Lonchura striata: one gene and its partner. The protein of the gene in region 2 purifies or fractionates together with the protein of the main gene of each other region. This does not show direct contact. Links are inferred from orthologs where the notes say so. Each region holds a gene or a part of one and is shown on either strand. Other genes may lie near its edges.

Region 1 (16,767 bases), on a different chromosome or scaffold from region 2:
GGTGTCCCCGGTGTCCCCGGAGCTGTCCCCGCTGGCCCCGGGGTCCCCGGGGTCCCCCCCGGGCTGGCCCCGCTGTCCGCAGTGTCGCCGGCCCTGCGCCCCCGGCCGCGTCCGCACCGCGGTGGCGCTGGCGGTGGAGGCGCGGATCGCGCGGCGGCTGGCGGGGGACACGAGTGGGGACACGAGTGGGGACACGAGTGGGGACAGCGGGGACACGAGTGGGGACATCGGGGACAGCGCCGGGACAGCGCGGGGACGCCGCAGGACCCGCAGGACCAGGTGAGATTTGGGGGATTTTGGGGGTTTTTTGGGTTTTTGGGAGGGTTTTTGGGGGGTTTGGGGACATGGGGACACGAGTGGGGACACCGGGGACAGCGGGGACAGCGCAGGACCTGCAGGACCAGGTGAGATTTGGGGGATTTTGGGTTTTTGGGGGGTTTGGGGACATGGGGACAGCGGGGACAGCGCCGGGACAGCGCGGGGACGCCGCAGGACCCACAGGACCAGGTGAGATTTGGGGGATTTTGGGTTTTTTGGGTTTTTGGGAGGGTTTTTGGGGGGTTTGGGGACATGGGGACACGAGTGGGGACACCAGGGACAGCGCGGGGATGCTGCAGGACCCGCAGGACCAGGTGAGATTTGGGGGATTTTGGGTTATTTTTTGGAATTTGGGGATTTTTTGGGGGGTTTGGGGACACGGGGACAGCGGGGACAGCACCGGGGACAGCGCGGGGACGCCGCAGGACCCACAGGACCAGGTGAGATTTGGGGGATTTTGGGTTATTTTTTGGAATTTGGGGGTTTTTTGGGGGGTTTGGGGACACGGGGACAGCAGGAACAGTGCAGAGCCGGGAGGGGGGAAGGTGAAATTTGGGGATTTTTGGGGTTTTTGGGGAGTTTTGGGGACACGGGGACAGCGCGAGGACAGCGCAGGACCGACAGGACCAGGTGAGATTTTGGGGGATTTTGGGGGTTTTTTTTAGGGTATTTTGTGGGGGTTTGGGGGTTTGGGGACACGGGGACAGCGGGGACAGCACGGAGCCGGGAGCGGAAGAGGAAATTTGGGGAATTTTGGGGGTTTTTGGGTTTTTTTGGGGGGTTTGGGGACATGGGGACAGCAGGGACAGGACAGGACTGGCAGGACCAGGTGAGATTTGGGGGATTTTGGGGGTTTTTGGGGTTTTTTGGGGGGTTTGGGGACACGGGGACAGCAGGAACAGCGCAGAGCCAGGAGGGGAAGAGGAAATTTGGGGAAATTTGGGGAATTTTTGGGGGTTTGGGGAGATGGGGAGGGCGCAAGACCAGCAGGACCAGGTGAGATTTTGGGGAATTCTGGGGTTTTTTTGGAATTTTGGGGGGTTTTAGGGGGAGATTTGGGGGTTTTGAGGAGTTTGGGGACATGGGGACGGCGCAGAGCCGGGAGGGGAAGGGAAAATTTGGGGTTTTTGGGGAAAATTGGGGTTTTTGGGGGAGATTTTGGGGTTTTTGGAGATTTGGGGGAGATTTGGAAAACTTGGGGGGAGATTCGGGGTTTTTTTGGGAAGAGTTTTGATTTTTGGGGGGAGATTTAGGGACATGGAGGGAGGAATTGGGGGATTTTTGGGGAGAATTTAAGGGATTTTTTGGGGGTAATTTGGGGGAATTTTGTGGAATTTCTGGCAGGAATTTGGATGATTTTTGGGGGAGTTTTGGGGGGATTTGGGTTGATTTTGGGGGGAATTTTGGGGTGACTTTTGGGGGGAATTTGTATGATTTTTGAGAGGAATTTTGGGGGGAATTTGGATGATTTTTTGTGGGTAATTTGGGGGAATTTTGTGGAATTTCTGGCAGGAATTTGGGGTGATTTTTGGGGGGAATTTGTATGATTTTGGGGGGGAAATTTGAGGTGACTTTTGGGGGGAATTTGGGTGATTTTGGGGGGGATTTGGGCGCTGTTGCATCCCTGCCGAATCCGGCGCTGGGGGAGGGGAATTTTGGGGATCCCCGCCCCTCCCCCTCCCCTCACGTGCCGCCTCCTCCCGCCCCTCCCCCCCCCGGGGCGCCCCCGCCCCTCCCCCACCCGGCCCGGTGACATTTTTGGGGGGTGACAAATTTTGTTTTTGCGCTGCCCCTCCCCCGGCGCCCCAAAAATATTTGGGATTTTTTTCTTCCCTTCCCCCACCCCAAAAAAAAAAATCGGGATTTTTTTCCCCCTCCCCCTCCCCCACAAAAAAAAAAAAAAAGGGATTTTTTTCCCCCTCCTCCCCCAACCAAAAAATTAAAAAAATTCGGGATTTTTTCCCCTTTCCCCCACCAAAAAAATAAAAAATTCGGGATTTTTTTCCCCCTCCCCCACCCATTTTTTGGGTATTTTTTGTTTTTTTGTCCCCACAGCCTCGGGGCCCAACTGCGAGCGGACGCCGCCCCTCCCCCACCCCCGCGGGACCCCCCCAAATAAACCCAAAAAACCCAAAATAACCCAAAAAAACCCAAAAAGCATCACCGGTGTCATTTAATGTCCCTGGGGGGGGTCCAGGTAAAAATTTTGGGGTTTTTGGTGACATTTTTGGGGGTTTTGTGACATTTTTGGGGTCCAGGTGAGATTTTGGGGGGCGGTCCAGGCAGTGAAATTTTGGATTTGGGGGGAAAATTTTTGGGGCTGAAACTGCAGAATTTTTGGGCTAAAATTCCAAACTTTTGGGGCTGAAATTCCAGGATTTTTGGTGCTGAAATGCTGGAATTTTTGGGGCTGAAATTCCGAATTTTTCAGCCGGAATTTTCGGTGTTAAAACTCCGGAATTTTGGGGGGAAAATCTTAGAAATTATGACCCTAAAACTCCCAAATTTAGACCCGAAAACCCCCGAATTTCGGCCATAAATCCCTGGAATTTTAATTCTAAACCAGCAAAATTTCAACCCTAAAAATCCCAAAATTTGGCCCTAAAATTCTGGAATTTTAACCCCCAAACTCCCAAATGTTGGCCCTTAACCCCTGTAATTTTAACCCTAAAATTCCCAAAATTTGGCCCTAAAACTCCGGAATTTTGGCGCCGACCCCCCAAAATCCGTGGCGGGGTGGGGGAGGGGCCCCTCAGTGTCCATTGGGGTGGGGGAGGGGCGGATTTTGGGGTGGGGGAGGGGCGGATTTTGGGGGCCCCCGCGGATTTTTGGGGTGGGGGAGGGGCAGGGTGGGGGAGGGGCACATTTTGGGGTCCCCCCCGCAGATTTTGGGGTGGGGGAGGGTCGGATTTTTGGGGTGGGGGAGGGGCCCCTCAGTGCTCATTGGGGTGGGGGAGGGGCAGATTTTGGGATGGGGGAGGCTCGGATTTTTTGGGTGGGGGAGGGTCGGGTTTTTGGGGTGGGGAAGGGTCAGATTTTGGGGTGGGGGTCAGATTTTTGGGGTGGGGGAGGGGCGGATTTTGGGGTGGGGGAGGGGCAGTTTTGGGGTGAGGGAGGGTCGGGTTTTGGGGTGGGGGAGGGGCGGATTTTGGGGTGGGGGAGGGGCCCCTCAGTGCTCCGTTGGGGTGGGGGAGGGTCGGGTTTTGGGGTGGGGGTCAGATTTTTGGGGTGGGGGAGGGGCGGTTTGGGTGGGGGAGGGGCTGGTTTTGGGGTGGGGGAGGGGCCGGTTTTGGGGTGGGGGAGGGGCGGATTTTGGGGTGGGGGAGGGGCGGTTTGGGGTGGGGGAGGGGCCCCTCAGTGCTCCATGGCCACGGGCGGCTCGCGGGGCGGGGGGAGGGGCGGTTTGGGGGGGCCCCTCCCCCCCGTGTGCCGGTGGCCCCGCACGCAGTTCTGGTGGCCGCAGCCGCGCCCCTCCCCCCCCCGCCCCTCCCCCTCCCCCTCGCTCTCCGAGGAACTCTCGCCGAAGGGCCGCGGCCGCTCGAAGATGCAGCAGCCTGGGGAGAGAGGCCGAGAGACGGGCTGGGGGATTGGGGGTGGGGGGTGGGGATGGGGGGTGGGGATTGGGGGGGTTTGGGGGGTTTGGGGGGATTTGGGGGGTTTGGGGGATTGGGGGGATTTGGGGAGATTTGGGAGAATTTTGGGGGTTTGGGGGATTTGGGGGGATTTGGGGGTTTGGGGAAATTTGGGGGATTTGGGGATTTGAGGGGTTTGGGGAAATTTGTGGAGGTTTGGGGAAATTTGGGGGTTTGGGGGGATTTGGGGGGATTGGGGGATTTGGGGGGATTTGGGGAAATTTGGGGGATTTGGGGGATTTTGGGGATTTGGGGAATTTGGGGATTTGGGGAAATTTGGGGGATTTGGGGGATTGGGGAGAATTTTGGGGGTTTGGGGGATTTGGGGGGTTTGGGGGGATTTGGGGAATTTGGGGGATTTGGGGAAATTTGGGGGATTTGGGGGGATTTGGGGGTTTGGGGGGTTTGGGGGAAATTTGGGAGATTTGGGGGGATTTGGGGGGTTTGGGGGGGTTTGGGGGGATTTGGGGGGATTTGGGGATTTGGGGGGGTTTGGGGGATTTGGGGGGATTTGGGGGGATTGGGGGAAATTTGGGGGATTTGGGGGGATTTGGGGGGTTTGGGGGATTTGGGGGGTTTGGCAAAATTTGGGGGGTTTGGGGAAATTTGGGGGGTTTGGGGAAATTTGGGGGGTTTGGGTGAAATTTGGGGGGATTTGGGGGAGATTTGGGGAGTTTGGAGGATTTGGGGGCATTTTGGGGGGATTTGGGAGGATTTCAGTGAAATTTGGGGGGCTTTGGGCAGTTTTGGGGGGTGTTTTTGCGTTGTTTTTGGGCCATTTCTGGGTTATCTTGGGAGGTATTTTTGGTCAATTTTTGGGCTATTTTTTGGGCCAATTTTGGGTTAATTTTTGGGTTATTCTGGCAGAGATTTTCAGGATATTTTTGGGCCACTTTGGGGCTACTTTAGGGCCGTTTTTGGACTATTCTGGCACATATTTTTGAGCCATTTTTGGGTTAATTTTGGACCGTTCTGGCAGATATTTCTGGGATATTTTTGGGCCATTTTGGGGCTGGTTTTGGGACGTTTTTGGGCGGGTTTGGGGCCATTTTTGGGCAGATTTTGGGGCTGGTTTTGGGCCATTTTGGGGTGGATTTTGAGGCTGTTTTGGGCAGATTTTGGGGCCATTTTTGGGCCGTTTTTGGTCCATTTTTTGGCAGATTTTGGGGCCATTTTTGGGCCGTTTTGGGCAGATTTTGGGGCCATTTTTAGTCCATTTTTGGTCCATTTTTTGGGCCGTTTTGGGCAGATTTTGGGGCCATTTTCAGTCCGTTTTTGGTCCATTTTTGGGCAGATTTTGGGGCCATTTTCAGTCCGTTTTTGGTCCATTTTTTGGCAGATTTTGGGGCCATTTTTGGGCCGTTTTGGGCAGATTTTGGGGCCATTTTTAGTCCATTTTTGGTCCATTTTTTGGGCCGTTTTGGGCAGATTTTGGGGCCATTTTCAGTCCGTTTTTGGTCCATTTTTGGGCAGATTTTGGGGCCATTTTCAGTCCGTTTTTGGTCCATTTTTGGGCAGATTTTGGGGCCAGTTTTGGTCCATTTTTGGGCAGATTTTGGGGCCATTTTCAGTCCGTTTTTGGTCCATTTTTGGGCAGATTTTGGGGCCAGTTTTGGTCGGTTTTGGGGCCAGTTTTGGGCAGATTTTGGGTGGATTTGGGTCCGTTCTGGGCCCGCGGCGCTCACACTTGGAGGAGCGGCGGCCCAGGTGCTCGTTGTCCACCGTGTCGCTCGACCACTCGACCTTCTTGTCCGGCTTCCTCTTCCTCAGCTTCAGCGTCAGGCTGCGCTGCTCCTGCGGGGTCACACAGGGGTCAGGGGTCACACAGGGGTCAGGGGTCACACAGGGGTCACTCCGTGTCCCCTCAGCGTCAGGCTGCGCTGCTCCTGCGGGGCCACACAGGGGTCAGGGGTCACACAGGGGTCAGGGGTCACACAGGGGTCAGGGGTCACACAGGGGTCACTCCGTGTCCCCTCAGCGTCAGGCTGCGCTGCTCCTGCGGGGTCACACAGGGGTCAGGGGTCACACAGGGGTCAGGGGTCACACAGGGGTCACTCAGTGTCCCCCCAGCTTCAGCGTCAGGCTGCGCTGCTCCTGAGGGGTCAGCCAGGGGTCAAGGGTCAGCCAGAGGTCAGCCAGGGGTCAGAGGTCACACTGTGTCCCCAGGGGCCATTCCCAGTATCCAAACCCCTCCCAGTAACCCCAAACCCCATTCCCAGTACATCCCAGTAACCCCAAACCTCGCCCAGACAGTCCCAGTACATCCCAGTCCCTCCCAGTGCCCCCAAACCCTGCCCCAGTAACCCTAAATCCCTCCCAGTACATCCCAGTGACCCCAAACCCCATCCCAGTACCCTCATCCCCCATTCCCAGTACATCCCAGTGACCCCAAATGCCATCCCAGTACCCTCATCCCCCATTCCCAGTACATCCCAGTAACCCCAGTCCCTCCCAGTCCCCCCCAGTGACTCCAAACCCCATCCCAGTAACCCTAAATCCCTCCCAGTAACGTTGTCCCCCATTCCCAGTAATTCCCAGTAACCCCAGTTCCCTCCCAGTCCCCTTCCAGTCCCTCCCAGCAACCCCAAACCTCGCCCAGACAGTCCCAGTATATCCCAGTCGCTCCCAGTGACCCCAAACCCCATCCCAGTAATCTCATCCCCCATTCCCAGTACATCCCAGTGACCCCAGTCCCTCCCAGTCCCTCCCAGCAACCCCAAACCCCATCCCAGTATATCCCAAATCCCTCCCAATCCCATCCCAGTCCCCCCAGTCCCTCCCAGTAACCCCAGTCCCTCCCAGTCCCTCCCAGTGACCCCAAACCCCTCCCAGTATATCCCAGTTCCCTCCCAGTCCCTCCCAGTAACCTCATCCCCCATTCCCAGTCCCTCCCAGTCTCCCCGCCCCCCCGGGCCGGTACCGGCTCGGGGTTCCCGCTCTCGGTGACGGTGGCGGTGCCGCAGCCGCCGCTCTCCGCCGTCTCCGCCATGGCCGCGGGGGGTCCCGGGGCTCCCGCCGCCACCGGGCCGGGCCGGGAGCGGAACCGGGCCGGGCCGAGGCCGCCCCCACTTCCGGTGCGCGGAGAGCGCCGCTTCCGGTGGGTGAAGCGGCGAATCCGCTCCCCCTGCGCGGCCACTTCCGGTGCGCGCAGAGCGCCGCTTCCGGTGGGCGCGGCGGAGAATCCGCTCCCCCTGCGCGGCCACTTCCGGTGCGCGGAGAGCGCCGCTTCCGGTGGGCCCGGCGGAGAATCCGCTCCCCCTGCGCGGCCACTTCCGGTGCGCGCCCAAGGGCACCGAATTCCCAAAAAAATCCCCAAAATTCCCCCAAAAAATCCCCAAATTCCGCCCCGAATTTGGGAGCGGGACGCTTCGATTCCTCTTCAAGCACCAAAATCTCAAAAACGGCCGAAAAATTCCCAAAACATCCCCCAAAGCACCAAAATATTCCAGAAAATGCCCCAAAAATCCCAAAAAATCCCTCCAAAAAATTCCCAAAAATTAAAAAAATATCCCCAAAAAACCCAAAATTCCTCCCTTAAGAATCCCCCAAAAATCCAAATGTCAGGAATCTTCCTTCTCCTGGAACCTGCGGGAAAAGGGGAGGGGTCAGGAGAAATTCGGGAAATTTGGGGTGAATTTTGGGGGAAAATTCGGGGTTTGGGGAAATTTGGGATTTCAGGGAAATGTGAGGGGTTTTTTGGGGAATTTTTGTGGCTTTTTGGGGTTTTTTTTGGGGATTATTTTGGGGGTGTTTCGGGGTTATTTTTGGGATAGGTCAGGGGATATATTGGGAATATTTTGGGGATATTTTGTGAATATTTTGGGGATATTTTGGGGAGATTCTGGCAATATTTAGTGGCTATTTTGGGAATATTTCAAGGATATTTCGGGGACATTTTGGGGATATTTTGGGAATATTTCGGGGATATATCAGGGATATTTTGGGAATATTTTGGGGATATTTTGGGGATATTTGGGGCTATTTTGGGAATATTTCAAGGATATTTTGGGGACATTTTGGGGACATTTCAGGGATATTTTGGGAATATTTCGGGGATATTTTGGGGATATTTGGGGCTATTTTGGGAATATTTCAGGGATATTTTGGGGACATTTTGGGGATATTTTGGGGATATTTTGGGGATATTTTGGGGATATTTTGGGGCTATTTGGGGCTCTCACCTGCAGCGGGGGCAGGTGTAAAAAACCGTCTGCCCCTCGTCGGCCGAGCGCATCTGGCGGGTGTGGAACCACATCCCCGAGTGGGCGCAGCGGGGACAGACCCTGTCCACCTAAAATTCAAATTATTCACCTCAAAATTCAAATTATTCACCCCAAAAATATCCCAAAATTCAAATTATTCACCCCAAAAATCCCATGAAATCCATGGGATCCCCGTGTGGAACCACATCCCTGGGTGGGCGCAGCGGGGGCAGATCCTGTCCACCTAAAATACCCAAAATTCAAATTATTCACCCCAAAAATATCCCAAAATTCAAATTATTCACCCCAAAAATCCCATGAAATCCATGGGATCCCCGTGTGGAACGACATCCCTGGGTGGGCACAGCGGGGACAGATCCTGTCCAGGTAAAACATCTAAAAATCAAATTATTCACCTCAAAAATATCCCAAAATCCCATTAATTCATCCCAAAAATCCCATTTTCACCCCCAAATCCCTTTTTAAGCCCGAAAATCCCATTAATTCACCCCAAAATTCCCATTTTTCACCTCAAAAATCTCTTTACCCTAAAATCAAAATTTTTTGGGGAATTTTTGGTCAAATTTTTGGGAAATTTTCTGGAATTTTTCTGGATTTTTTTGGGGGGGGGATTTTTTTTTTTCAAATTTTTGTCAATTTTGGGGGGAATTGTCTGTTTTTTTTTTTTTTAATTTTATAGGCATTTTTGTGGACTTTTTTTAAATTTTCAGGGAATTTTGTGGGATTTTTTCCTGGAAATTTTGGGGGGGGGGTTTGCAGGATTTTTTGGGGAATTTTTTTTTAATTTTGGGGGGAATTTTTTTGGAATTTTTGAATATTTTTTTTCTGGAATTTTGGGCTTTTTTTCGAGGGGGGTTTTTGGGGATTTTCTGAGAATTTTTTTGGAATTTTTTTTTAAATCTTGGGGATTTTTTTCTGGAATTTTGGGGGTTTTTTTGGGAATTTTGGGGGAATTTTTCTGGAAATTTTGGGGGATTTTTTGGGATTTGGGGGCCCCGCCCCCCCTCACCGTGGGTCCCTCCTGGGGGGCGGGGCCGGCGCTGCCCCTCCCCCCCCCGGCGAAGCTCAGCGAGGATCGGACGGGGCCCGGCCGCAGATCTGGGGAGAAAAACGCCAAAATCGGGAAAAACGTGGGGAAAATGGGGAGAAAACGGGGAAAATACGGGGAGAAATGGAGGAAAATGGAGGAAATCAGGAAAATTGGGGAATACAGGGGAAGTACAGGGAAAAACGGAAAAATTGGGAAAATCGGGGAAAAATACAGGGAAAATGGGGAAAAACTGGGGAAAATACAGGGAAAAAAGGGGAATATACAAGGAAAAACAAGGGAAAATTGGGGAAAAAGTGGGGAAATTTAGAATTTTGGGGGGAAATGGGGAAAAAGTCCTGATCATTGGAGACCACAGCGGGAGCAGCATTTCAATGGGATTTAATGGGATTTTAACGGGATTTTTTTCAGGATTTCTCTATTTCTTTGGGGATTTTTTTGGATTTTGGGTTTATTCTGGATTTATTTTGGGTTTTTTGCCCCAAACCTGAGCTCCGCAGGCCGAGCCCGCAGCGGGGGCAGGATTTCAATGAGATTTAATGGGATTTAATGGGATTTCAATGGGATTTTTTGGATTTTAACAGGATTTTTTCAGGATTTCTCGATTTCTTTGGGGATTTTTTTGGATTTTGGATTTTTTTGGGGTTTTTTTGCCCCAAACCTGAGCTCCGCAGGCCAAGCCCGCAGCGGGGGCAGGATTTCAATGAGATTTAATGGGATTTCAATGGGATTTTTTGGATTTTAATGGGATTTTTTCAGGATTTCTCGATTTCTTTGGGGATTTTTTTGGATTTTGGATTTATTTTGGGTTTTTTGCCCCAAACCTGAGCTCCGCAGGCCGAGCCCGCAGCGGGGGCAGGATTTCAATGAGATTTAATGGGATTTAATGGGATTTTAATGGGATTTTTTCAGGATTTCTCGATTTCTTTGGGGATTTTTTTGGATTTTGGATTTATTTTGGGTTTTTTGCCCCAAACCTGAGCTCCGCAGGCCGAGCCCGCAGCGGGGGCAGCGGCAGCAGCTGCCGGGGCCGGGCCGGGGCAGGACGGAGCCGCACTCGGGGCAGAATTCGGGGCGGGAGCGGAACCAGAACCGGGCCGGGGGCTCCATCCGGGGAACGGACCCGAAACGGCCAAAAACCTGTGAAAACAGCCCCGAAATACAGCAAAAATACAGCAAAATAGCCCAAAAATACAGCAAAAACTACCCCAAAACAGCCCCAAAAATTACCCCAAAAATACAGCAACACCAGCCTAAAAGTTACCCAAAAATACAGCAAAATCAGCCCCCAAAATTACCCAAAACTCCTGCAAAAAAAGCCCAAAAATACAACAAAAATACAGCAAAAATTACCCAAAAAAATACACCAAAACCAGCCCCAGAATACACCAAAAAAAGCCAAAAAATACACCAAAAACAGCCTCAAAATTGCACGAAAAACACCCAAAAAATACACCAAAACACCCCAAAATTATCCCAAAAGCTCTCAGAAAATGCACCTAAAACACACCAAAAATGAACCAAAAATGCTCCAACAAATCCCACAAAAACTCTCCCAAATCTGCCGCAAAATTCCCAAAGTCTCCCCAAATTCTCCCCGGAAATCCCAAATTTCCTCCAAAGTCTCCCAAAAATTCCCCCCAAAACTCTGCCTCCCCTCCCCCCCAAAATTTCCTCCAAAAACACCCAAAAAAATCCCCAAATTTCCCCAAATTCCCCCCAAAAATCCCAAATTTCCCCCCAAATCCTCCCAAAATTCCTCCCCTCCCTCCTCTGCCTCCCCTACCCCCAGAATTCCCAAAAAAATCCCCAAATTTCCCCAAAAAGCCCCAAAAATTCTCCCAAATCTGCACCACCCCTCCCCCACCTCCTCCCGGCGCCGCGCGGGAAACTCCGCCGGCCCCGCCCCTTCCCTGACGTCACTTCCGCTCCCTCCGCGACCCGGAAAGGGGAGCGCTTCATTAACGGCGCATCATTAATTAACGCGCTAATTAACCAGAAAAGGCGTGGCTTCGTGAGGGGGCGTGGCTGGATTTAATCTGCGTTAAAGGGGGCGTGGCTCTCGCCGCGCTCAAAGGGGGCGTGGCCACGCGTGAGGCCGCCTCATTTGCATCAACCGCGCGTCTTGGCGCGCTCGGATTGGCCGGCGGCGAGGGGGCGTGGCCTGGCGTCGCCATGGCGCCGCTTCCGCTGCGGCCGGACCGGAAGTGGCGGCGCTCGCGGCCGGACCGGAAGTGGCGGCGCTCGCGGCCGGACCGGAAGTGGCGGCGCTCGCGGGAAGGCGCCGCCGGTACGGGGGGGGGCGGGGGGGGCCGGGATTTTGGGGGAAATTTGGGGGTTTTTGGGACTTTTTGGGGGTTTCGGGGGGTCCCGGCGCTGGGGGGGAGCCCCCGGAGGTGCTGGGGGGGGAGGGGCGGCGGGCGCGGCCGCGTTTGGGATTTTTTGGGGATTTTTGGGGTTTTGGGGCCTTTTCTGAGGGGGAGCGGCTGAGCCCCAAAATGGCGGCGGGGGGAAATTTGGGGAAATTTGGGGAAATTTGGGGATTTTTTGGGGTTCCTTGGGAGGATTTTGGAATTAGTTTTTGGGGGGTTCATTGGGAATTTTTAGGGGATTTTTTTTTGGGTTTTGTGGGGGGGTTTGGGGTTTATTTGGAATTTTGGGGCTTTTTAAAGGGATTTATTTAGGAACTCTTGAGGATTTTTTTGGGAGGATTTGTTTGGATTTTTGGGGGGATTTGGGGTTTTTTTGGGGGCGTTTTGGAGAGCATTTTGGGATTTTGGGTGGAATTTTTTTGGAGATTTTTGGGGAGATTTTGGAGCTTTTCGAGGAGATTTATTGGGATTTTTTGGGGGGTTTTATTGGGAATTTTTTTGGGGATTTTGGGATTTTTTGGGGGGGATTTATTTAGATTTGTTGGGGTTTTAATTTTGGTATTTTTGGGTTTTTTTGGTTTTCCCTCCAACCCCTCCCCGAATTCAGAATTTTGGGAATTTTCATTTTTTCCCGTTTTTGTTCTTTTTCCCCAGGAGGTCCCGGCCCCGCCCCCCTCCAGGAGCCCCAAATTCCGGAATTTTGCCCCAAAATTCCCGAGGGAGCCTCGGGGGGGGAGGGGGGAGCCGGAGGCGGAGCCCCCTCCCCCACTGAGCGGCAGGTGAGGCGGGAGCGGGGGGAAAACGGGGCAAAAACGGGGGGAAATGGGCAAAAACGGGGGAAAAACGGGGGAAAATGGGCAAAAATGGGGAAAATGGGAAAAAAATGGGGAAAAACGGGAAAAAATGGGGAAAAACGGGGAAAAAATGGGGAAAAACGGGAAAAAATGGGGAAAAACGGGAAAAAATGGGGAAAAACGGGGGAAAATGGGCAAAAACGGGGGAAAACGGGAAAAAACGGGGGAAAACGGGAAAAAAACAGGGCAAAAACGCGGGAAATGGGAAAAAAATGGGGAAAAACGGGGGAAATGGGAAAAACGGGGCGAAAATGGGAAAAAACGGGAGAAAACGGGAAAAAAATGGGGAAAAACGGGGGGAAATGGGAAAAACGGGGCGAAAATGGGAAAAAACGGGAGAAAACGGGAAAAAAATGGGAAAAAACGGGGGAAAAATGGGGGGAAATGGGAAAAAATGGGGGGAAATGGGAAAAAACAGGAAAAAAATGGGGAAAAACGGGGGGAAATGGGTAAAAACAGGGAAAATGGGGGGAAATTGGGAGAAAATGGGGAAAAATGGGGGAAAACGGGAAAAAAAGGGAAAAAATGGGGGGATACGGGGAAAATGGGAAAAAATGGGCAAATATGGTTGAAAACAGGAAACACATGGGTCAAAAATGGGAAAAAAAGGAAAAAAGGGAAAAAATGGGGTAAATTGGGAAAAAATGGGGGAAAGTGGGAAAAAATGGGCAAAAACAGGAAAAAATGGGGGTAAAAAGGAATTTTGGGGGAAAATGGGGGAAATTGGGAAAAAATGGGCAAAAGTGGGGAATTTTGGGGTAAAAATGGGGGAAAAAACCGCAAGAAAAAAAAAGGGAATTAATGGGGGAAAACAGAGAAATTTGGGGAAAAACTAGGAGAAAAATTAGAATTTTTGGGGAAAAAAGAGGGGAAAACAGGAAAAAATGGAATCTCGGGTGTAAAATGGGAGGAATGGGGAAACTGAGAAAAAATGGGGGAAAAACGGGAAATAATGGGAAAAATGGAAAAAATGGGGGAAATTGGAAAAAAAAGGAAAAAATTGGGGGGAAATGGGGAAAAAAGGGGAATTTTTGGGAAAATCGGGGTAAAAGGGGCATTTTGGGAGGAAAATGGGGAAAAAAGGGAATTTTGGGAAAAAACGGGGAGAAAAATTGAATTTCGGGGGAAAAAGGAGGAATGGGAGAAAAATTTGAGTTTTGGGGAAAAAATGGGAATTTTGGGGAAAAAATGGGAATTTTGGGGAAAAATGGGGAGATAAATTGAATTTCAGGGGAAAAAGGAGAAAAGGGAGAAAAATTGGAGTTTTGGGGAAAAAATGGGAATTTTGGGGAAAAAAGTGGGAAAATTCGGCATTTTAGCCAAAAAAATGGGGAAAAAATGAAATTTTGGAGAAAAAAATCGGGAAAATCTGGAAATAAAGGAGAAAAAAATTGGAATTTTAGGAAAAAATTTGGGTCTCAGCATGGATTTGCCCAAAATTTGGGATTTTTTCTCTCAAAATCTGAATTATCTTGGATTTTCCCAGAATTTGAGAATTTTGTGCTGACAAAAATGGGAATTAGTACGGAATTTGCCCAAAATTTGGGATTTTCACCCCAAATTTGAATGATTTTGCATTTTTCTTCCGATTTGGGGGATTTTTGGCTGGCAAAAATTAGAATTAACGGGGAATTTTTGGCTAAAAATCCTCAAAAACTCCAAAATTTTGTGATTTTCACCCCCTCAACTCCCCAAGGACAGGGAAAAAAGGAGAAAAAATTCAATTTCCACCCAAAATATGTAAATTTTGGGGGGATTTGAGGCGATTTCATCACTTGGCCGCTGCCCAGAGGGGAAGGAAAATTCCCAATTCGCTGAGTCAGCAGCTCCAGCTGCAGCCCCGGCCACGCTCGGGGCAAAACTCCCCAAATTTGGGCAAAAACCCCAACATTCGGGCAAAAATCCCAATTTTTTGGGCAAAAATCCCAATTTTTGGAGCAAAAACCCCAAATTTTGGAGCAAAAATCTCAAATTTTGGACAAAAAACAAACAAATTTGGGGTCAAATCCCAGCAAACTTCCAGATTTCGGTTCAAAAATCCCAAATTTCGAAGAAATCCCGGAATTTTGGGGTGAAATTTCAGGATTTTGGCGCAGGTAAATCCCCCCCCATTTTTCCTGCTTGATTTTCCCCGTTCAAATCTGATTTTTCTCTTTTTTCCCTCCTTTTTTCTCTCTTTTTTTCCCTCTTTTCCTGCTTTTTTTGGGTGTTGTTTCCCCATTTTTGGGCTGTTTTTTCTCAGGGAATCCCCCCCAACTTCTCCCTTCTCTCTTTTCCCAAAAAATCCCATTTTTCTCTTTATTTTTCCCCTTTTTTTTCCCCTTTTCCCCTCCTTTTTTCCCCCTTAGCTTGTTTTTTTTGGGGCAATTTTTGGGGATTTTGGGCCATTTTAATTCCCCCAGGATTTTCCTTCTCCCCCCACCCCTCTGGCCCCATTTTTTGGGAAAAAATCCGATTTTTTGGGCTTTTTTTGCCCCTTTAATTCCCTTTTCCGGTGCTGACGTGGCCGGGGCAGAGTTTAACCCTTGAGCTCCCGCACTGGAGCCGCCCCAGAGAAATTCTCTTTTTTTCCCTTTTTTTTAAAAATTTTTCCTGCATTTTTTCCACTTTTCCAACTTTTTTTTAACCCTCTCATATTCCCCTTCATTTTTTAAGCCTTCCCGAGGTTTTTTTTCCCCTTTTTTTCTGGATTTTTTTAACCCTTTCCTGGATTTTTTCTCATTTTATTTTTAAAAATGAAATTTAATTCCTTAATTTCCCTTTTTTCTCTCCAATTTTTTTCTCTCTTTTCCTCTTTTTTTTCTCGTTTTCCCCTCTTTTTTCTCCTTTTTTCTCCTTTTTTTCTCCTTTTCCCCCTTTTTTTATCTTTTATCCCCCCCCTTCCTTAACCCCAAATTTCTTCACCATTTGGACTCTCAAATCCCAATTTCCATGAATTTGCCCCATTTTCTTTTTTCCTCTCTTTTAGACTGGAAAATCCTCCCTGGGTTAAAATTTCACAGGATTAAAAAATTAAAACTTAAATTTTGATTTGAAATTTCAATTTCACAGCATCGGAAATTAAAATTTAGCATCAAAACTATTTTAAAATTAATATTCCGCAGCATTTAAAATTAAAAATAATTTAAATTAATATTTAACAAGACTTAAGATTAAGTTTTAGCACTGGAATTAATATTTAACAAGATTAAAAATTAAATTTTAACAGGATCGGACTCTGCCCTTGAATTCCGGATCGGTGAGGGCTGAATTTGGGTTTTTTCTTTTTTTTTAAGGATTTTTGCCTCATTTTTAACAGAATTTTAAGGAATTTTTAGGATTTTTTTAATCTTCAGTGAAATTTGGGGTGAGAATCTCAAATTTCAATTTTTTCTCATTTTTTTAAACAATTCTGGGGCATTTTAAAGGGAATTTTTGCCAATTTTTTAATTTTGGGGGATTTTTAGGGACTTTTTCTTGTATATTTGATTTATTTTTATTTCTTTGAACCACAGGTTTTCACTTCCTCTTTTGGAAGGGATTTTGGGGGTAAAAAAGGGAATTTTGGGGCCTGGGATTTGGGTTTCTTTTGTACCCATAATTCAAAAATTGTGACTTTTCCCTCCATTTTTAACTCCAAATTTCTCTTTTCCCTCCTTTTTTGACCCTGTTTTTAACCCCAAATTTCTCTTTTCCGCCCCCAAATTTCTTTTTTAACCCAAATTTCTCTTTTTTAACCCTGAATTTTCTATTTCTCAATTTTCAACCCCAAATTTCTCTTCCCCCCTATTTCCTCCTCGTTTTTAACCCCAAATTTCAGGTTTTAACCCCAAATTTCTCTTTTTTAACCCCAAATTTCATTTTTCCCCCATTTCCAAGCCCAAATTTCATTTTTCCTCATTTTTACCCCAAATTTATTTTTTAACCCATTTTTCTCTTTTTTAATCCAATTTTCTTGTTTTTAACCCCAAAATCTTCTCTTTCACCCCCAAATTTCCCTTTCTCACCCCCAAATTCCCCTTTTTCCCACAAATTTCCCTTTTTCACCCCCAAATTTCTCATTTTCATCCCAAAATTCCTCATTTCCCCTCCCAAATCCCTCTTTTTCCCAAAAAAATCCCCATTTTTCCCCCCAAATTCCCCTTTCCCCCCCCAATTTCCCCTTTTTCACCCAAATTTCTCCTTTTTCCTCTCAATTTTCTTTTTTACCCCAAATGTTTTTCCCCCCAAATTTCCCTTTTTGACCCTCAAATTTCCCTTTCTCACCCCCAAAATTCTCATTTTCACCCCAAAATTTCTTATTTTCCGCCACAAATTTCCCTTTTCCCCCCAAATTTCTCA
Region 2 (15,949 bases):
GGCGGGCGCCAGTTACGGGCCAGCGCTGACACCGTCACAAGGAGCTCAGCCGCGGCCTCGCACCGAGGACAAAAGAGCGGCGCGCTGTCTGGGAAGCAAACGGGAAAATGGGATGGGATCCTCGGGGAGGGAAGGACTGAGCCGAGTTCTCTGCGCTCTGTTGAGCCTTGGAGAAGCCGCTCTCTGCGGGACGAGGAGGTCCCGTGGTGGTGCCAGGAGCTATGCAAGCATCCAAGGCCAATACCGCGGGGAAGCTGCCAGCCCCTAGAAACACCCACCGAGCACAGTGAACGCACCCCTTGCACCTGCGGGCTGTTTAACAAGGGTTGGGTCTCCCCCCCCCACCCATCAATAATTAGCGATGCACTGTAAAACATTAAGAATTAACCTAAAGTGAACAGCCACAACTATCTAATTCACACTAATTAATGGGAAATCCACTGTGAATTTACAAGTGCGATCAAATGTAATTCTAAAAGCAGAGGTAAAACTTCATTGAGTGTCGTCTTCACGTGGGACACGTTTCTGCAATCCCTTAATCACAACAATTAAAATCACATTGTTCGGAAATATTAAAATAAGATGCTTAGTCTCAAAGTTCAGTGATGGGTGAGTAACAGAAGTAAAATCTGACACTTGACAGCTATAATTTATTTCTCTTTATAATGCACGTCACAATGCACTGATCCTTTTGAAGGCAGTTTGGATTGTTACATTTTAACTGCATGAGATCTAATTAGAGCTCCTGCTTATGAATCTTCAGGGAAGGTAGAAATTTGTCTTTTGTTTCCGTTAAAATACATGGAGTCTTATATTTCAAAACACGGACTGCAGAGATTCTATTCTCCCTGGTTTTGTTTAATGTTTAAAATAGTTTGACATTTTAGAAGATACTTCTTTGTTACAAGGGTTACTGATTCCATTAAACTGGTTTTAGAAATTTAGAACTTAAACCACAGATACCATGACTGTAGAAAAGTCAAGGAATTTACAAAACCCTAAGCTAAAACATCAGAAAGTTGTTTTGCAGTGCTGGACTGTTTTAAATTTTCTCTCACTATTTGAAGTGCACTATCTCCATTTCATTAAACACACAAGTTCATTAATATGCTTAACCCTTTCCTGGGGGCCATTTCAGCAACAATTTGACAGACCCAAAGGTAAGCATAGAAGGAGGTGAGGTGTCATTGATTTAGATTAGGTCTATTACTGGAAATCAGAGTACAGCTGGAGACATGCTGACCTACTACAGTAAGACTCAATGTCCTAGTGAATTTGGTTTCTTAAAAGCTCTTCTAAGTAGTGCTGTCCTCCCTTAGGAGTCAAACTGTTGACAAAGCACAGGAGTAACAAAAATCTTAAGAAAGAACTGCAATTCTTATATAATGTAAAAAATATTTTCTTTAAAGCTGGAAATTTTCAAGTTAGAATGTTGTTACAATCAAGACATCACTAAAATCCTTTTATACTCTGTGCATTTAATACAGCTGATTCTCTGGCAGTACACTAGATGAACAGAAGCAAATGGTCCTTTTCTTACCGTGTGGTGAATAGAAGCAAACAGCCCAGACTGTGTCTGCTGAAAAACCTCTAGCAGGGTATTCATGAGATGAATACAACCATCTTCTGCCCCTTTGTCAGGAGAGATCAGATGCAGTGGCGTGGAAGATAGTGACAACCCCCAGACTTGTTTTATAATGTAGGAGTGAATCTCAGTGTTGAAAAAGTAAAGCAGGGTTTCAGCTGTCACCGACAGACCTGTCAAGGTCACAGAAGAACCAGCACACACAGGGCATCTAAAAACAAACAGAAAATTAATTTTGAAGGGATATTTTTAAACCTTATATTTAACAAGGTTAGCCTATGCCAGAGGATACTGTCAGCTACCTATAATTAAACATCAGCCGTATTGATTGACCTTAACTTGAGAGACGAGCTGTTGCCTGAAGCCTTTTCGAAGTGTGTGCACACAGAGTAGGAACACACTGTGAGGAACTGGGACTGCAAAATAAATAGGAGAACAGGGTCTGGTTATCCTGCAAATGGCAATTCCACTGACTAAAAGACAGCACATTCCTCTGCATAGGATGAATGGTCCTTGAAGGAATGTTAAACCTTCTAGGCTGCCACACAGAGGGGAGTAGCTTAAGGAACCAATGTTTCTAGGAAGTCAGCTATGCACTGGAAAAGCAAGTCATTGTTTTGTGGGTGAATCAGCATTAATGACAATCGTGCATTGAAAGAAGTATCCACACATTGCTGGACTCTTGGACTGTAAGTACACAAGAAAATTGAATATACCTTCAATTTTAAAATAAGTGTGAAATGCATAAGCCCATGAAAAATTCAAGGCAGACTGAGCAACTGTTTGTACCAGATAACACACATTTGGAAATAATGTATTGTGAATTCTCAAAGACACTTTTAAGTGAAACTACAATGATGACATGGTAGTGTATTTTATGAGCTTGTTCTTGGACCTGTAACAAAAAAACCCCACACTTCGAAACCTAAGATTGCGTGTGAGCACTAGAGAGATTTATGAACCAATAATGTTTTTGATGGACTTGCCATGTGATCCTAATCAAGCCATTATACTTTTGTCTGGTGCTGAAGCTTATCTACACACGTGTTCATAAATGCTTATTTTTATTGTGAGCGTTTTAGGACAGAGTCTGGTTTTTACTACAAAGCTATACATCACCCAGCATAGTAACAGGCTGGTGGTGCTACTTTCATATGATTAATGATCATAAGCATCAAAGTGAGATGATTTGCCACTTTTGTCCAAGATGGAAGTAATTTACAGCCTGAATGATAGTGAAAAACAGACCCTGCAGATGCCTGGCTACAATACCATCAGCCTATGAGTTTCACACAATTATTATTATTAGAAAAACTATCTGCTGTGACCTTAGCTCAACAGGAAAAACATTATGGAAGCTAGTGGCCAGATGTGATGGCAAGATGATTTTGAAATATTACGAGGGAAGTTTTACCACTCCTTTTTAATGTTATCTGAGAAACCTACTCTCTGATTCCTCTTCAAGTTGCACTGATATTATCTAGTGTGGAAAACAGTCTTCAGATAGGTGCACTGATAATGGCACTGGACATTGAGTGTTTAATTTGAAATCATAACTATTACCCACTCTTAAATGACAATGGTAGTCTTCAAATAATGAGCCTTCTATAATAACATAGCAAACTGCCTGCAATGTGGAGTGATTGCACCATGTTCTCTGTTCCAGTTCAAGGTAGTACCAATCCTGATTCCTGGACACTGCTTATTTGAAGTTTCCAAACTGGTATCCCATGGGCCTATCTTCATAATGGACAGTTCTCAAAGGAGTAACCACACAATCTTAATTTCCTAACATGCCCCTCAGGAAAAAGCTTAGGATGCGTGTACAAAAGCAAGATCTCTTGTGAATCTTTTTTTATTTCAAGATTCAACTGAAACCAGGAGGAGTTGACAGCATGATTGAGAGGCACACATATGAGCTTATAAATAGAGGCCTGAAAAGATGATTTGATTTCCATTCTTTGGAATGTTACTGCTATTCAGAGATATTGCAAAGTAATCTCTGGTAAATTGCCTATGATTGAAGCAAATGGTAATTCACTGAATAGAGCCCTCTGGTCCTTACAAGAAAGAAACTCTCTGCAAAAGTTCTGAATAAGGGATGAAGGACTTTTTCTTTTGTTCTAATTCTTGATTTCCTGGTAAAATAGGGACATGTGATAACAAAATCATCCATCTCCAAATATTTCTTGTGTCATTAAGTATCATTCATGTAGCAACAAGGTTTTCCATCCTGGGTAATTTTTTAACGTCTTTTTACATCATGATGTCCCGATATGGCTTCATTCCCCATCTCTTTTGCTCAAGTCATTTTTCATATTTTACCAATTTCCCAGTAGTGTACCTGTCTTGGCAGATGGTGTGGTTTCTTCTTAATACATTTTTCAGATACCTTAATCTTTTTTCTGAACAACTGGAGTTAAAAGGACATTGAACACTGCTGTAAGCTTCAGCATTCATTATAAACTGGTTTTATTTGAAATATGGTCCTTCCCAATGGCATTTATTTGTAGAAGCATTTAGACATCTTGAAACTGGATGAGCTCTACAATTTTTTTTTAAAGTAATACATAGTGGAATGTGGCTTCAGTCCTTCTCCCCCTATTTTTTTCATTGTCTTTCACCACCAAGAGTTCTTACTTTTTTTCCCCCCCAGTCATCTCCTGCATGTAAAGTGCTGCAGGGAATCTAAATAGGTTTCTAATGCTGTTCTGTCTTCATATGACACCATATGAACCAACAACAGATAGAGAAAATGGGAACAAGTAAATTATTGGATTAGTGAAATTATTCTAAATCCCTTTCTACAGTAATTCATCTTTCATTGTAAAACCACATTTAAGTCTCTAAGTATGTGTGATATAAAATATTAATCCTATGTTAACATGTTCTCTGCATTTAAAAAAAATCCAATCAAAGCTACCAAGCAAACCTTGTAACTTATGACTGATTTATTTATATTGTCAGTACTAAAAATGGTGATGAGGCTGACATGGAAGCTATAATGCCATAAGCTATTTGAGTCAAAATAACCAGCCACACCTTCTAAGAGGAACAAGACAACTAAGAAACCTGTAAACAAAACCATCTGCGAAAAACAACACAGGGAGTTAACATCCAAAATGAAGCATGTCTTTCCATGTTTCCTATCATGCTAACACAATGAGAATGAAGCACTACAGATGTTCAAAGCAGAGATCAGGGATTTTTAACTACATCAATCTCTCCACAGTAGTCCCTCCGGCATCATAAAGAGTGCTCTCTGGGTATGGCTCACAGGAACGAGATCAGAACACATAAAAAAAAAAATTTAAAAAAAGGACACAACTGTGGTATAAATACCTAGCAAATATAGAATAAATAGCTTTTGAGTTGGAGAATTTCTGTTATTTCAAGCAGATCTGGAGAGGCACCCAGGAAAATAATTTTGCTTGCATATTGACTGAGTTTATTTTACTTTTTATAAGTCATCAGTGTTCATGAGAGGAAGAGTGCTGGTTTGAATCAGGCATGTTGCAAGCAGATGTTATGCAAGCTTCCCCAGACAGCCCTGCCAATGACTGCAATCCTGAGTTATGACATTCACTGTAACTGTTGCAGCCTGGGCCCTTTTTTGAGCCACTCATCTGTTGGTTTTCCTAAAATGGGGATATTTTTTGTGATGAGTACAAAAACTTGAAGATCAACATTTGTTTCCAGACCAGTAGAATTTGAAAACCATATCTGAGTTTCATGGCCTATCAGTACTACAGCACAGAAATTTTAAAGTACATTATTTGTCATTATATATATGATGTGATACTGTTACTTAACATATGTCTTGGTATTTGGTAAGGGGCAGTCTCTTGTAGTTTCCTTCTATTCCTACTTTTGAAGGCTAAAAAGATGTGATTTCCAAATACCATTCATAAAACCCCTTGTAGATTTTTAATTAAAATACTCCTTTCATCTACAAGTGTATGAAATTACTACGTCCTTTCATAACCTTTAAACAAATAAATTTAGAAACAAAGGATATCAAACCTATCAAAACCAATCTCATGGAGCAGAACTACTCTACTTTTGAAAGACACTGGTGATTCTGGGGCAGGAGATGAAGCACTGTTGCTAACGTAGATTACAAGCTCTAAATAGAGAATGTCAGATGAGACATTACAGTTCCCACTCTGAAATGCACTGTATTTTGGAGTATCTCATAAAACTAAACAATTGCTGCTAGTCACAGTATTTTTTGTTTTTGCTTGGATATTTAAAAAGCTGTTTTTCTTATTATATAGCCTGATGTCATTGTTGCATGTTTTCTAAGTACACATTCTACCATACTTTTACAGACTGTAATCTTGCAGAGGAAGATGTGGGAGTATGCAGGTAAAACAGAATAATAGTTTTTAAAATTTATTGTTCTTTACTAGATTATTATCGCACTTTCCATCTTTAAACAGTAAAAATACTTTGATAAAGCTTGCTTGAACTTAACAGTCAGAAGCACGTGCTCAGTAATTTCATGATACTATTTTTTTTGGTTAAAGAAGTAAGAAGCACTGAAATGACTTGCCCAGCAGTGCCAAACCAGTCAGTGTGAAAATTAAAAGGTTGAGACTTTGTCACCTACAGCTGTATGCTTGTGTTCCTCAGCTGTATTTCCTTCACAAAGCTTTTGGTTTCCAGGCTTATGTGCACGTACTGTCGTAAGTTCTGTACAGGGCAACAAGTGGTGAGAGAATGATTCTTACATCGACAAGAAGGGACTGGGTTCATGAACAGGGTTATAGTTTGTGAGTAATTTGAAAAGCATTTAGGCAGCCGGTGTAGAGTAATGCGTTGTATTCTTCGCCCCTCTGAGGCATCTGCGATAAGGAGGGAGGTGGGGAGCAGTGAGCTTTCCAAGGACCGAGCAGGGAACATGAAACGCAGGTTGAGGCAAAACACGGGGGACGCTGCCGGTGACGGGCGCGATGGGAGAAGGGCGCACTCCCGACAGCCTGGTATCAAGGTGATTTCTTAAAAATGAGGCTCACCAGAGTGTGAAAAGACTTTTCCACAGGGAATTATGGAGATCTCGTCCTCGGCAGATCTGTTCGCCCAAGCTGTCGGTCACCTCCTGTCAAGAGCCTCCCGGGGCGAGCAGAGCAGGCGGCTCCAGCCCCCCAGGCCGGGCGGCGGAGCCCCGCGCCGGCTGCCGGGGCTGCCCTTCTCCCGTCAGCCGCTCCCCCTGCCCTTGACCTCCCCGGCCCTCGGCTCAGCCCTCAGTGGGCGGCGGCGGCGGCGGCGGCTCCCCCGCCCCACGGGGTCACGCCAGGCCAGGCCCAGCCGGCGCTCTCCAGGCCGCGGCAGGGCCGTGAGGCTGCGCGGCGCTCGGTGCCCGCAGCGAAGCCGGGCCCGGGTCAGCTCCCCGGGGACCCGCGGCCGCCGCCGCCTCCCCCGGGCCGGGCCGGGCCGGGCCGGGCCCATAGAGCGCGCGGCGCCGGGATAGAACGGCCGCGCCGGGGCCGCAGCGCCCCCCGGCGGCGACTGGCGGGGGCGGCGCAGAGCGAGCAGAGAAAGGGAGCAGGGACAGTAATGGCGGCCAGTTAGAGCCGGGCTGAGCCCGAGAGGCGGCGGCGACAGCGGCGGGAGGAGCCGGCGCGGCTCCGGTTGCGTCTCTGCCCGGCGGAGCGGCCTCCCCGGAGGGCTTTTCTTCCTTCCTCCCTCCTCCCCCCTTTCCCCCTCTCCCTCCCCTTCCCCTCCCTGCCCGAGCCCCCGCCTGTCCGCCCTCCCTCCCTCCTCCCTCCGCGCCGGCGGCGGCGGCGCCCCCCGTGTCCCCCCTCGCCGGGGCCATGGTGAACACCAGGAAGAGCTCTCTGCGCCCCCTGGGCAAAGCGGCGGCCGCGGCGGCCGGGGCCGGCAGCCATTTCATCTCGTCCCGCACCCGCTCTTCTAAGAGGGGCACCAAGGCAGATGCGGCCGGGCTGGAGGAGGCGGCGGCAGCGCGGGTGAGGACCGGGGACTCCACAGGGGACCGGAGGGAGGGAGGCGGCGAGGCCGGGGAATCGCTGGGGACAGCGCCGCTGGTGCCGCGGCGCGGGGGGGGCTGCGGGCACGGGAGCCGGCGGGGGGCGGCTGCCGAGACGGCTGGCGGCTGTCGGAGGGACCCTGGGGCCGGCGGGCAGCCCGAGCCGAGGAGGCACGGCGGGGCCGGCAGGGACGCGGGGGGCAGCTGCGGAGAGCCGCGGTCCCTCTGGGGCCAGCGGCAGGGCGGCGGGGCCGCTGCCAGGGCGGGGGCGCAGCGGCCGCGGTGCCGGTGCCCGGCGGCGGGCGGGGGTCCGGCGGGGTCCGGCGGCGCGGGGCTCCCCCTGCGGCCGCGCCCGGCGCTGCCACCGCCAGACAAAAGTTGGGAGCTGCGCCCGCAGCAACTTCGCAATAAACCTCGGCCCGGGTTTGGTTCGTGTGTGTATATATGTGTGTTTGTGTGTGTGTGTGTGTGCGCGTGTGTGCTTTTTTTTTTTTTCCCCTGCTTTTTTTTTTTTTTTTTTTTTTTTTTTCCCTTTTCCCTAAATGACCTCGATTCGGCTGGCGGCTGCGACTGGAGGAAGCTGGTGTTCGGGAAAGCCCCCCGCCCCGTTTTTGTGGCTCGGAGGCTGTGATTTTTGCCGTCAAGTTTAAGTTGAACGCTTTCCCAGCCAAACTTCTTGTGGTTGCTTGGGTTAGACACGCTAACTGCAAGTGAAATTCTACAGCCCGATTTGAAGAATTAGCATTTGGTAAATTGGAACTGGAAGAAAGAATTCGGGAGTCCCCTTTCTTCCTTGTCTCGTAACAGCTCTGTTGACAAAACCTGCAATTTTTGTTTTTAATTATCGAAGAAACACAGAATCGGTGAGGTTGCAAAAGACCTCAGATCATTGAGTCCAACCTATGACCAATCACCACCTTGTCAACCGGACCATGGCACCGAGTGCCACATCCAGTCTTTCCTTAAACAGGTCCAGGGCTGGTGCCTCCACTGCCTCCCTGGGCAGTCCGTTCCCAATGTTTAATGATCCTGTCTGTGAAGAAATTCCTCCCACAGGAGGAATTGTAGGCAGGACTTTTTCTTTGGTTGATGAAACTTCACGTATTGCTTTAAAGGTCTTTCAATAAAAGCAATAAAAATCAATAAAAACAATGCACATTTGGAAGTGAAATTTGAGGGTCTGAGCGTTTGACAGTGGTGCATCAACTGTCCCTGCCATGCAAAGGAGGAAGTTAATCAACCAAGTAGAAAAACAGCAGCAGCAGCCAGAGGCATGTGAGAAGGATGTCACCTGGAATTCTCACAAAACCTTTTACCCCATCCATTTGGTCTAAAATACTAAACCAAATACAAATCACTGATGAAATATCCTATACCTTCTGTGCTTCTCTTTCAGTTCTTTCATATTTCCCAGTTCTTCCCTTCCCCCATCGTACTTTTACTTGTTCCCTATTTCTTCCTTGTTTAATTTCAGTGGACTCCTGGGGATGCAGTACCATAGCTGTAAAAAGCTGTTCTGCTTGTTCTAGTGTGCAGTTTCTGTTTATTCAGATCGTGGGTCTTGTGGTTTGTGAAGCAAAGTTTGAAGTAACCCTTACTGGCTTACTTCTCAGGGAGTTTACTGCTGCTATGAAAACTAGCTTGGGCTTCTTTCCAAGTATTTTTAATTCATGAACAGTGTTCTTTTACTACAAATCATTAAAATGTTCAAATTATGTTATTGTCATGGTGTGAGAAAAGGAGATTGTGCGAAATAGTGTAAAATATTGTAAATACTTCTCAATATATTGCCCATACACCTAAAAGAGCATTTCTTCTAAAGTTAAATGTAAATTTTGGTGCATGGGAATGAACTTGTTTTGCTCCACAAGGCAGCTCATGTGTTTGAGGTGGATTTTTTCTTTCCTTTTAAGATGTAATTGCCATATATGAGCAGAAGTTATCCAAGAAGGTTTTTTTCCTTATTTCCCCCATCCAGTGTGTTTTATAAAATATGTACATCTCACTGTATTTTAAAGTTGGTTTTGAACAACTCCTTTTATTCTTCAGATGTAAGTACTGTCAGCAATACAGTGTCTTTCTGAGCTTCTGAATCTTCTTGAAGTAGTGCCAGAGAAGGATCTCAGTGATTAGGACATGAATAAGTATAGCAGTAGGGAGACAAAGCCTTTGCTTTTGCAAGTGACTGTCGGGAGACTGATAGTGAGGCTGTGTTCAGAAAGAGCGTGCTGGGATCGTCTTCATGCAGTTGTATGTTTTTTGGGGTTTTTTTTTTTTTTTTTTGTTTTTTTTTTGTTTTTCCCTTGGTGGGGTTTTTTTTTTGTTTTTTTTTTTTTTTTGTTTTTTTTTTTTTTTAGTAGACTGGAACAGTCTGTCCTTTCTAGATCTTTTGGGTGTCACATCAGGAAACCAGCCTTGCTACCAGCAGTTAATCGGGTTAATGGGCAGCTAGAGTTTGGATCTCTGGCAGAGATGGGACGCTTCTTCTTTGCAGTATGTATGACTTAACTTTCTTGCATCGAGCTTTTGACTGGGACTCCCTGAGAGTTGCTCTTCTGTGGGAATATTTGCAGCCACCTTTCAGAATGTATTTTAAAAGATCATCTGTCTGTTCCTTATTAGCAACAAAAACTGAGTTAATGACATAATGGCATCCTGTAAGATGCTGAGTAGACTAAATGAGGGGATAGGACTTGCTGTCTAATTCTTCTGTATCTATTTCCTATTTTCTTCTTATTTTTTCCACTTGGCTTTTTCTGATACACTGTTTTTGTGGCTTTTTTTCCCCCATTTGTTTGGGTTTTTTGCATACACTTATAAGGATAGGTTTGACTCTCTCCTTTTCCAAGAACTTAAGTTTCTAGTCTTCTGCTTCAATATTTTGCTGAGTTATATGTGAATAGTGTCCTTTTTTGTTTGATCTGAATCTGGAGGCAACACACGTTTTGTGGAAATGGACTGTAATAGTCTAAATGCCTTTATTGGTTCAGTGTATTCCCTCAGTAGTACTCGCTCAGCTTGGAGAAAGCAATGACGTCAGGCTTTGAAAAGTAAACTGGTTTGAATTATTGATTGGCGACCATGCAGTCAGTGATGGAGATGAATACATGTGTGTCTGTCTGCTTACCAGAAGCCAGATTAAAATGAACAAAATCCCTCACTAAATGGATCAAGGAGCCAAGAAGTTTACTGTCTGAGATAATGTCATAGCAGAGTGCATAGAGAGGATACAGAGGGGAAAAACTGGGCTTTGTTTTCTTCCTGTTTCCAGGACTGATTTACACACTACTTAGTAGATTCTCAAGCAATGTTTACATAAATATATATTCTGTTGTTATACAAATTATACATATGTGTATAAAAATACAGATTTTTTATCTTCTGAGCATTAAAATTTGGGAAGTGTTCTAGCTTTATATTAAAGCATTCTGACAAGAAAAGCTCATCAAAATCTTTTACAGAGACACAGAATTTTAACAGAAGGCTTATAGGTTCAGTGGACTTCATTCACACTACGAAAACATCAAGGATCCTGTGACTATAAGTGGTTAAATTTGCACTTTGTATCTACTGATGTCTGATTACTGATGTCTAATGTTTTCAGACACTGAGTTGTGATTGCTGTAACACTTCTTTGGCAATTGAAATTATTTTTCTTAGTCATCTCAAAGCACAAATCAAAAGCGTTGATCGAGAATTTATTGTGTAATAGACACTCTTAAATCATGTCAGTGTACAAGTTAGACATTTTAGAAATGTATACAAGGTTAGCTTAATTTAATTAGCCAAGAAAGCATTAGCAGTGCCTTAAGAGCTACTTGAGGGCATGGTGATAATTGTAAAGCATGATCCTCCCTAAAAGTAGTGCTGCCAACATTGTTCAACTTGCACGGTGCAACCTAGAGCTCTCCATTGTACTTAACCGCTAATGGGAGCAATCAGGGGCTGCAGGAGTGACATCGGGTGCTGGAGTGTGGAAAGGTGGAGAGCTAAGCAGCATTTCTGTGCCCTGTGTTGCCAGTGTGTTTCAGCGTCTCTCACTGTGGTTTCTCAGTCTGTAGGCATAGAAGTGTTTTTTCTGATTTCTGGGTGATAATTTCAGCTTTTGTAGTGTAAACTTGTTGCTACATTTTACTCTTCGAAAAGCCTTTAATGGTCAGTGAAAACATAGAAAATGTAAAACTTACTATGATTTCTCTTAAATTACAAGTTTTAACATAAACAATAGAGCTTTCTAAAAATCAAGTTTTTGTTTATGAAAGACCCTCTCTACGTAATTTTTCACAGTGTTCTGGATGCTCTGGTGTTTAGAATAAAGCTGTAGAAAAAGATTTTCCTCCTTATGCTGGATAAATGACACTTGCTGGCCACCTGTTTCTTTTTCTTCAAGAAAAAAGCTCTGGTCCAATATCACTGTTTTAAAGAACTGCATTGCCTTTGTGTTTGAGTTTGCAGTGGCATCAGTAAAGGTGCAGAGGCTAATGCTTTTACAGTTCTTTGAAATACATCCTGAAATATAAAGCCTTGTGAAGTTATTCCAAACAATTTAATTTAAAGGAAGACTCCCAGGGAAGCTCATCTTTTCGGTGTGTAATAAAATCTCGGGTTCTTTCTGGTTTAGTGGTCTGCTGTTCTTTTGGGATTTAGCAGGGAAAAATCAGTGTTCTAAAATGAGTCATGTAGGCCATTCCTTGGCTGTGTGGTGTTAATACAGCTGTGAGCAGAGGGAAATGGAGCAATTGTTGGAAGGAGTCTTTGTTCAGGATTCTGTCAAAATACCATACAGTTGGCATTTGTGATCCTTTTGTGGTTCTGAAAGGCTGTCCCGAGTTTGAATTCTTCTTATGTATCTTGCCAGATCAGTCTGGGCTGCTTTCTGAAGTCAGGACATGTGAAGTGTCCATGGTTTGTTTTGGGAGGCCGTGGTGCATCCTGTTCGAAGCTGGCTATCCTTGCTGTCACACTGTTCCAGGGCCTTCAAAGGAAGCAATCCAAGGGCTAATCCAGTGAATGGATAAGACCTCCAAAGAGTACTCAGGAAATGGTGTTGATGTTTCATGTGCTGCATTGCTTCCTCTGAACATTGGGCTTGTCCCAAAGTAATATTAATAAAAGCTGCTTCTCCAACTGCTGTCTCTGTCTGAATTTCAAACAGAAGGTTTGACCCATGGCTATGAGGCAGCCCATGACAATTTTGCAAGAGTTGCATACAGCTTGGGGTTATGCAAGATAATTAGCTCAGGTAATTATATTCTGATCACCTCTATCCCCCTGCAGTTTCAGATGCATGTGGTACGGTTTTGCACACCCTGCCCTAAATTGTTTAATGTTTTATATGCTGTGGAAAAATTTTAATTCCAGTCTAATGATGATTTGAATGATTTCTCTGTAAAACTTTATAAAACCCATCTCGAAACAAAGCATGCTGCAAGTAGGCATCAGTGAACTGAAGCTTTCATTGATGTGAATTTTGTCTGCTGTTTTGTAGCTGTGACCCTTTGAAAGATTGCTGATTGTTTATTAGATGTTTTAGATCTAATAGATTACTTTTTCTGTGGGTAATACCACTTATGAACCCATTTACTGCAAAGGGAGCTGACAGTATGTTTTTATCCTTTTTTTGTGTACACTTCATGCTTTGCTGGTTTTTCAAAACAATTTTTCAGTCTGACTTCACTCTTGAAATATTGTCTTCATTACCTTTGATGGGATTTTCATGGTTTATTTTAACCATTAATTCTGATTTAAATTCCTCAAGTGTTGGTTTGAATTTATATGTACTTGGATTTTTTTTCTGAATAAATTTAGTTTCTTTTTGCTTGGTAGTTACTAAAACAGGCGAATTTTCAGCCAGTTGTAAGACCAGTTGTAATCTTCTGTAAGCCTTTCAATTTTGCACTGAGTATGTGTATGCTGTATTAGCTTCAGCTCCAACTGAACTAGTTACGAAGGAGGCAGCTTTAGTTCTCCTATTAGAAATACAGAACTTAGAAGTGTCTCCAAGTTCCACAGTTCTTGTAGCCTGTACTGAACTTCATGGTTTTGCCTGTATGCTTCTAGTAGTGTCTGTTGATGGCGTAACTGATGTAAAGCTTTGATAGAAAGTTTGTGTCCAGTTCCACTTGGAGCAGATGCTTTGGTTTGGTTGTTTTCATAGTGTGGGAAGGGGGCATTTTGCTTTTCTCCAGTCAGTTCTTTCATTTTAAATGGATAAATAGTTGAGTCAAGCTATTTAAATAACCTGAAATGAAGAATCTGTTCATTTTCTACATGTGGAAGAGATTACTTGCAGTGAAATTTGTTGCTGTGCTTCAGCAGTCCCTCATTTCAAATACTTAATAACTATCCTCTATTATTTCTCTGATTTATCCTTCAGGCTTAGAATTTTGTTTTAATTATGATTTAAATTTCAGTACATTAATCTTAAGATTTCTATCACAATTGTATGCCATTTTAATTTCTTTTTTCTCTTTTGAAAATGCTGTCTTCAAGTGCATTGTAGCTAGGGGTGCAGAAGTGTTTTTTGATCTTATTTTTTTTCAACACAGAAGGCCACCTTCCTAGTTTCCCTTGCTACAGACATTTCTTTGCTTAGTTTACTGAGTCTATTTCCTGGTCATGTCCAAACCTTGGGGAGCAGTTTGGTTCAGGTCTTCTCACTCTGTTCTCCTCTTTGCTATCCTCATTTAGATAATTCTGTGTCTTTATTTAGATTTATAGTAGTATTGAAGGAGGCCATGTCCTATAAGCTTTGTTTAGGATATGCCTGTTACACAGAAATAAGATGGATTTTTGAGGACTGAGGGTAGGAAAAACATTTGAATGATTTCATTTTTTCCACATCAGAAATTGTAATAATTATTGATTATTGATTCATTACATAAATATAATTTCTGCTTTAAAAGTTTTTATTAACAGAGTCTAGAAACTCATAGTTAATGTAGTTCTCACTAAAAATGTGTTACTTTTAGTATTCCTTCAGTGTTTAATAAGGAGGATCAGTGGTTTTAAAAACTTCCTTTAAGTGGATTGACTAGAAGTACTTCAAAGTGAGGTGTGGGCCCCATACAGCAAGTAGAGAACTCTTCTCAGTGGACTTGCTCTTCTGCAGGTGTGTGATTTCACATGTGCTGCGAGCTGTGAACTCTGCAGTTGTGAAAACAACAGACTCGCCAGTATTAATGCTTGCCAGGCCATTTGATCAGCGGGATCAGGATCATTTTACTGGTCCAGCTGAAACTAATCCTCTTCTCCACATCTCCTGGCTTCCCCTTGCCTCCCCTCCATCCTTCTGATGTGATTATTAGCTGAAATTTCACAGTATCATCCTAATTTTGGTGAAGGCACAGGGAAAAGAGGGGCGCTCATGGTGGAGCAGGCTGCTGATGATGGGAGGATAAATCTCAGCTCACTATTTATGGCCTCTGTCACAGTTTGGCAGAGGCTGCTCTGTAGGTCACTCTCCCTTTCGTTCATTAACCAAGTAACCTGTAGATTGCAAGAGTTTTTTGTGTGTCACACTGAAGCTGTTGACAGGTGCTCACTTGGTGTGGATATAAACAGGTGTCTTTTTTCTATAACAGACAGTAGGAATGGTTGCAGGTGTGAAAATCCTCAATTAACAGCACTTATATTTTTAACTTGCAAACTTTTAGCTTATCTTAAAAAGCTTTCACATTTATTAAATAACCTGAATTCTAGGGTTGAAGAGTTTCAGGAAATAAAATGGAAATCTGTTGAAATAATAAAGCAGATCTTCCAGTGCAAGAGATATGCTTTTTTTTTGTTTTTAATCTGACCAAATGGTGAAGAATTTATTCTTCTGAAAAAGTCCAGATGATGGTCTTCTTTGTTTTCTTAGTGGCTGTTATTGATGTGAACATTGCTCACTAAAAAAAATAACAGAAGCTGAATGTTAAAAGAATTCAGATCATCTTGCAGTTGAGGCATTCTTTACTATCATTACCACTAATGAAATACATCGTTAATAGTTGTTTATTCCAAGATCATCAAGCACTTAAGCATGAACGTTATTTTTCCTTAACACCTGTGGAGAGCCAATGTCTGATAAATGACTGTGTGCAAACAAGTGGAAATTAGAGAACTGCAACCAGGAGATGCGTTCTTTTAAGCTGATGATGTTTTTTATTCAAGCTGTCAGCAAGGTTAACGCATCAGGGCCTTCATGAAACTTGGAGTTCCCACTAAGGTAGTTAATGTGCTCTAATCCCAATACATTTATTTCTCAGTTTCTTGTCATTTGAAGGCTGAGGCAGAATGGATTGTTTGTAAGGGATGTTCAAGATCATCTCTTCCCAACCCCCTGCCATGTGTAGGGACACCTTCTACTACACAAGGTCGCTCAGAGCCCC

The links.
Region 1: the proteins of UBXN2A (region 2) and PPP1R11 purify together in Homo sapiens (affinity purification with mass spectrometry; 3 studies listed by BioGRID and IntAct, counting the BioPlex papers as one, with this or other methods). This does not show direct contact. The link is inferred for Lonchura striata from reciprocal best matches to the Homo sapiens genes UBXN2A and PPP1R11.

The regions. Positions count from the first base shown.
Region 1 is NC_134631.1:181,065-197,831, reverse strand, and holds PPP1R11 (E3 ubiquitin-protein ligase PPP1R11), read right to left. Parts: upstream 7,031-16,767; 5' UTR 6,940-7,030; coding exon 6,871-6,939; intron 5,745-6,870; coding exon 5,636-5,744; intron 3,873-5,635; coding exon 3,673-3,872; 3' UTR 3,445-3,672; downstream 1-3,444. Other genes in the region: POLR1H (DNA-directed RNA polymerase I subunit RPA12), read right to left, coding at 7,511-7,535, 8,132-8,241, 8,922-9,271, 10,199-10,331. UniProt on the Homo sapiens protein: Atypical E3 ubiquitin-protein ligase which ubiquitinates TLR2 at 'Lys-754' leading to its degradation by the proteasome.
Region 2 is NC_134605.1:106,721,160-106,737,108, reverse strand, and holds the start of UBXN2A (UBX domain-containing protein 2A), read right to left. Parts: upstream 6,791-15,949; 5' UTR 6,604-6,790; intron 1,797-6,603; 5' UTR 1,541-1,796; intron 1-1,540. Other genes in the region: ATAD2B (ATPase family AAA domain-containing protein 2B), read left to right, coding at 7,402-7,557. UniProt on the Homo sapiens protein: Acts to repress the ubiquitination and subsequent endoplasmic reticulum-associated degradation of CHRNA3 by the STUB1-VCP-UBXN2A complex in cortical neurons.